2 separate regions of the Mus musculus genome follow, and region 2 is reported to be linked to region 1. The links are microRNA targets in miRTarBase. Many come from high-throughput screens and were not tested one by one. Region 1 holds a microRNA gene; the other region holds the end of a gene's coding sequence.
What was found. The annotated mature microRNA mmu-miR-875-3p reads CCUGAAAAUACUGAGGCUAUG and lies in region 1 at 792-812, shown strand. An mRNA with a match to its seed (bases 2 to 7 or 8) in the 3' UTR can be bound and repressed. Matches are read on the target gene's strand: a 7mer-m8 pairs with bases 2 to 8, a 7mer-A1 pairs with bases 2 to 7 and ends in A, and an 8mer does both.

Region 2: the mRNA of Tmem101 is a reported target of mmu-miR-875-3p. Seed matches in the 3' UTR shown: 8mer at 889-896.

The regions. Positions count from the first base shown.
Region 1 is chr15:35,658,794-35,661,793 of GRCm38, reverse strand. Mir875 (microRNA 875) reads left to right here and starts at 747; the gene lies at 747-824. The region is part of intron 30 of Vps13b (vacuolar protein sorting 13B); the gene reads right to left. Mir599 (microRNA 599) reads left to right here and starts at 876; the gene lies at 876-963.
Region 2 is chr11:102,150,777-102,153,776 of GRCm38, reverse strand. Tmem101 (transmembrane protein 101) reads left to right here. Exons shown (of 4, transcript NM_029649.2): 4 at 183-1,230. The coding sequence ends at 491. Among named protein-coding and RNA genes, the nearest start is that of Tmem101, 4.1 kb to the left of the region's middle.

The sequences.
Region 1 (3,000 bases):
TCCCTTGTTCAGAAAAGCTCCTGGATGCTGCAGTTCTTAGCAGGATGGAGAGCACCTTCTGCTCTGCCGAGGACCACTGTACTACGCCTCCCGTGTCCACACAGCCCTGCAGCCACACTGAGAAGGTACTGGAATTGTATGATGCCATTTACTCTGCAAAGACTTAAAAAAAAAAAAAAATAGAAGGAATCGCCAAAGTTGTGTTTCCATATTGTATATAGCAGGTAAATTCATCCAAAATTGAAAAGATTTAACAATGTTACTTTGGATTAATAGAATCAGCTTTTGACCTGAGCCTGAATTATATACTTTTAGTGCAAGAATAAATTTCAGAAAATATCTTTCTCACATGACAATTCTTGAACCTGGACAGTATACAAATGATTCTGGTGTACTGTTAGGCTTTTTTGTTTGTTTTTAAAAAATACTACACTTCTGAGGATGTATTTTCAAATAAAATAATTGAAATTAAACAAATATGAATCCAGATAAAAGCAAAAATTCAGACTATCTAATGTTATGCAAAATAGGAAAGTATATATAAAATCAATTCTATTCCATTTTTCTTATTTTAAAATTCAAGTATGTTTATAATGTAACTTGACAATGTTTACCAGAATGAAAGCAAATTAAAGAATTATCTCTTTCATTAATGTCTCTTCTGCCACTAAGATGAACAAGGGGTGCTTCCATCCTATAACCCTGTGCATTTGTTTATTTTTCCTAGGTTTGGGGAAATTCCCAGTTCTGTGGTACTATACCTCAGTTTTATCAGGTGTTCATTAAAATCACCTGAAAATACTGAGGCTATGTTTCACTGAGCATAAGCTTCATGGATTCCTTGAGTGACTGCAGCTGTACTCACCACAAAGATGTGCTGTCCACAGTGTATTTGATAAGATGACATAGGAGAGGAACTTCTTTCACCTTTGTGTCAGTTTATCAAACCCATACCTGGATGACAAGCAATTCAATGGAAGGAAAACCAGTCCCAGAATTCAAAGCATTATTTCCTGTAGAAGAGCTCTGTGCTCTCTAAATGCCAAAGGCATAAATATACGACAGTTTCACTAAATGACTAAAGCCTTAAATAATATGGATAGAAACGGTTGCACTGCTAAAGTTATAACCACAGTTATTAAGGTTTACTGGTATGCTAGGGGATTTGGGTGAAAATAGCACTAAGGATAAATATGTATTACCTGATAATAAAATATGAGGAATTTATGTTAAAATTATGCTTTGACTTTGCTCAAAATTATTGACTTTTATATTTTTCGATTATTGTATTGCTTTGGTTCAGAATCCTCGACAAGAAAATTTATAGGTGGCAAACACAGGTTAAGGAAAGAGCATTCACAAATTAAAAACTGAAATTAGCATTTAGTTTTCTTGAAAGTTACCAATAGTCATAAAGGGTAGAACAGTGTTAATCTTTGACATATAGGCTACTATGGGCAGAAGTGAAGGCTGCAGGGGTCTGGGGGAAGTGTTAATGTGGCTATGTTTAAGCAATTAGTATTTCTCCTGTGGGAACTATCACTTCAAGAATGAAACAAGGACAAATAAGAAGAAAACATTCTATGGCCATTTTTACCTACCTTGATAATCAGGGCTGTGTTCCTTAGTACTTTTGCCAACATGAACTACTTTTCTGGTATCTTAACCTTATCAAAGTTCAGGGTTAGAAATTACAGAACAAAAACATCAGATTAAGGAATGGTTTCAATGAAGGGGATAAACAGCTTCTAAACAAAGGATAAGCCTTTCTAAGTGCATAAAAAAACTATTTAACCTACGACACTAATGACAGTGCACACTGTAATAAAGAAAGAGAAGCATGCGTGGGAAGGAAGTTGTCCTTCACACTGACCCTGCAGAGGAGAACTGTTCATTGCTGGGGCAGGGGAATGACACTTTCTAAGTCTGCATGCCACCTCACTGCTGCTCACCAGATGTTCATACGTGATATATACAGGTAATTTACTATGCATATGTAGTGAATATGTGTATGGTCCTTGCTTCTTAATTTGACACCTAATTAGCTTCTCTGTGGTAAAGATGTTAGGCTGTGGCTGTAAGTGGACACTAGTCAATACAGGCTAAAACAGTAAATAAGTGGCCTTTACAGCATCTCACATTTACAAGTTCACTAAAAAGATATTTTAAAAACAGGGAATGTATGATGTATCATGTACCCATCCTTTCATCAATGAACACATATAGGAAACAAACATACAGAATACTATTTAATTATAACATTCAATTATTTTATAATAGGCATTTAAGAAAACATAACACTATTTTACCATTTTTGTGTCTTGCATGTCAGTAGCCATGGTACACAAGCATTATATGCCAAGTATTATGGAGATTTAAAGGTTTAAAATTATTTTAAGGTCTATTTAACCTGTTTTCTTTTTTTTAAATTAGGTATTCATTTCATTTACATTTCCAATGCTATCCCAAAAGTCCCCCACACCCTCCCCCACTCACTCCCCCACCCATCCACTCCCACTTCTTGGCCCTGGCATTCCCCTGTACTGAGGCATATAAAGTTTGCACGACCAATGGGCCTCTCTTTCCACTGATGGCCAACTAGGCCATCTTCTGATACATATGCAGCTAGAGACACGAGCTCTAGGGGGTACTGGTTAGTTCATATTGTTGTTCCACCTATAGGGTTGCAGATCCCTTCAGCTCCTTGGGTACTTTCTCTAGCTCCTCCACTGGGGGCCTTGTGATCCATCCAATAGGTGACTGTGAGCATCCACTTCTGTGTTGCTAGGCCCTGGCATAGTCTCACAAGAGACAGCTATATCTGGGTCCTTTCAGCAAAATCTTATTAGTGTATGCAATGGTGTCAGCATTTGGAAGCTGATTATGGGATGTATCCCCGGATATGGCAGTCTCTAGATGGTCCATCCTTTCGTCTCAGCTCCAAACTTTGTCTCTGTAACTCCTTCCATGGGTGTTTTGTTCCCAATTCTAAGAAGGGGC
Region 2 (3,000 bases), not on the chromosome of region 1:
CTGTCTTCATCTTCACACACCAGAGCAGGGCATCAGATTTCATTAAAGATGGTTGTGAGCCACCATGTGGTTGCTGGGACTTGAACTCAGGACCTCTGGAAGAGCAGTCAGTGTTCTTAACCACTGAGCCATCTCTCCAGCCCTATCTGCTACAGTCTTAAAAGGATGCTGTGTGTCTCTAGGCCTACTCGCTGCAGCACAGCAAGGAGGACCGGCTGGCGTACCTGAACCATCTTCCAGGAGGGGAGCTGATGGTCCAGCTGTTCTTCGTGCTTTATGGGGTCCTGGCCCTGGCCTTCTTGTCGGGTTACTATGTGACGCTGGCCGCCCAGATCCTGGCCGTGTTGTTACCTCCTGTCATGCTGCTTATCGACGGCAACGTCTCCTATTGGCACAACACACGACGCGTCGAGTTCTGGAACCAGATGAAGCTACTCGGCGAGAGTGTGGGCATCTTTGGGGCTGCCGTCATCTTGGCTACTGATGGCTGAGTTCCACGGGGAGAGCCTGGTTTGGGCACAGGAGGCCACCGCCGAAGGCCACCTTACCTTCCTCCTTGCTGGCCCAGTTGTTGTTTATTTATGCTTCTTGGTTTGTTTGTTTACTTTCTTGTTTTTTTTTATTTTAATAGTTACATTTTTGGGGGGGAAGATGGGAGCCCTTGCGCTAAAGCTTCATAGGGTTTTGTTGTTGTTTTCTTGCCTGTTTTAGGGGAGAGCTGAGGCCAGCTGCCCCTCCCCCAAGTGGCCAGGGAGGGAGGAGTCCCTGAGAAAGGAGTAAGGCAGAGCTGGGGTGCAGGTAGAAGTTGGGGACAGAGGAAGATCTGGAAGTAAGCAAATGTGAAAATTCCTTTTGGAACCTGACAGATGCAGCTAAACTAAACAGTGCTTTTCAGACTAGTGTGTGTGTGTGTGTGTGTTCACACATGTGTGTCTTCACATGTATAGAAGTAGCCCTGTAAGGAGGGGCAGAGTGGCTGGTGCTACAGACGTCACATGGGCTCTTTGGGGGTCTGTCTGCTGGGGCAGGAATAATCCCAGTTCTCTGACTCTCGCTCTAGAGTTGAGAACAGGCAGGGCCTGGTGTGCTCTGGGATGTGCAAGGTGGAGCAGGCCTGTCAGTCAGCCTGCTGCTGCATCTGTTCTCAGCTTCTTGGTTGGCTGGCTGAGTGGAGCACCCACCCAAACACCAGACCACACTGTCCTCCGAAAATAAACATTTTATACAGACATTGTGTCTTTGCTTCTGTCTTCCCCGTGGGCACTTGGCCATTGGCTGAGGTTGATTTGGGGGCTCTTGAAAGATCATCTTGGGTTATACCCCATTCTGGTCCCCTATGGTTCCACCACCACCCCAGTTCTAAGAGTTCCCACAGTTCTTCAACTATCTTAAAAGAAAAAAAAAAAAAACCCACACACTTCCTGTCAGACGTCATTAATCCCAGCACTTGGGAGATAGACATCTCTGTGAGTTTGAGGCCAGCCTGGACTACAGAGTGAGATCCAGGACAACTAGGACTACATAGAGAAACCCTGTCTTAACCTCTTTCCCAAATAATAAGTAATTAAATTTAAAAAAAAATCTTAAAACATCAGCTAGAGTTGGCGTGGTTGAGCACAGGCCTAGAAGCCCCAGGCCCTAGGTTCCATTGATAGCATTGAAGAGAGATCTGTCACATCCCAAATCCTTACTATACGTTAGGTTTTCTTAGGGTTTGTTTTGTTTTTTGAGTCAGGGTTTCTCTGTGTAGCCCTGGCTGTTGTGGAATTCACTCTGGAGACCTGGAACTTGGAGATTCATCTGCCTGTTTACAAGTGCTGAGATTAATGGTGCGTGCCACCACACCCAGCATTCATCCCGGGTTTTTGAGGCAGCATCTCACTGTAATCTAGCCTGCTCTTAAACTCCCATTTCCCCGCCCCCACTTCCTGGATGCCGAGGTTACAGGCATGTCTCTATGTCCCACTTAGTGTATGTTTTTGGTTTCTCCCTCCATCCCTCTTATGGCCCATTTTTTCCCTCTCTGCCTGTTTGGGGGGCAGGTCTTTTGAAGAAATCTTTGGCAAGGGCAGCTGGAGCGAGAACTGATGTCATATTACATATAAGGAAATGGGAGACTCAGAGAAGGTAAGCAACTTGCCTCAAACCACAGACCAAACCTAGCTAGAACTAGCTGTCTAGTCAGGTCTATTGAATGTCCAAACCCAGATGTATCCTTGATACACATAATCCCTAGGGAAGTCAGGTTGCTCCTGGGCCTGTCACAGTCCCTAGTGTGCCATGATGGTTTTATAAAGGCATCTAGTATATCAAACATTGTTTGAAAAGTGTTGAAGGGCTGGAGATGTAGCTTAGTTGGTAGCCCTGAGTTCAGTCCCCATCCAGTGGGAATTAATCTGGCATGAAGGCACACGCTTGTAATCTCAGCACTTCGGGAAGCAAAGGAAGGAAGATAAATCCAAGGTCATCAGCTATTTAGTGAATTTCAAGCCAGCCTGGGCCACACTACATCAAAGATTGTATGTGTGTGTGTGGTATGTGTGTGTGTGTGTGTGTGTGTGTGTGTGTGTGTGAGAGAGAGAGAGAGAGAGAGAGAGAGAGAGAGAGAGAGAGAGAGAGAGGAGCTGGAGAGATGAGTGGTGAAGGGCACTTGTTCAGTCATGAGGACTAGAGTTCAAATCCCAGCAGGTGACTCACGAATGCCTGTAATTCCTGCTCCAAGAGATCGAATACTCCTTTGCCTTTCATTCGTGCTTTTGCATGGACTCTCACACGCACATATAACATGTTTTTAAATGTGTGAGGGTATTTTGCCTGCATGTACATCTTTGCACCATGTTCATGCCTGGTACCCATTAAGGTCAGGAAAGGGCATCAGATCCCATGGAGCAGGAGTTAGGGACAATTGTGAGCCACCACGTGGATACCGGGACTAAAATCTGGATGCTATGGCGGAGTAACCAATACTTTTAACCACTGGACCATTTGACTATCTCCCAT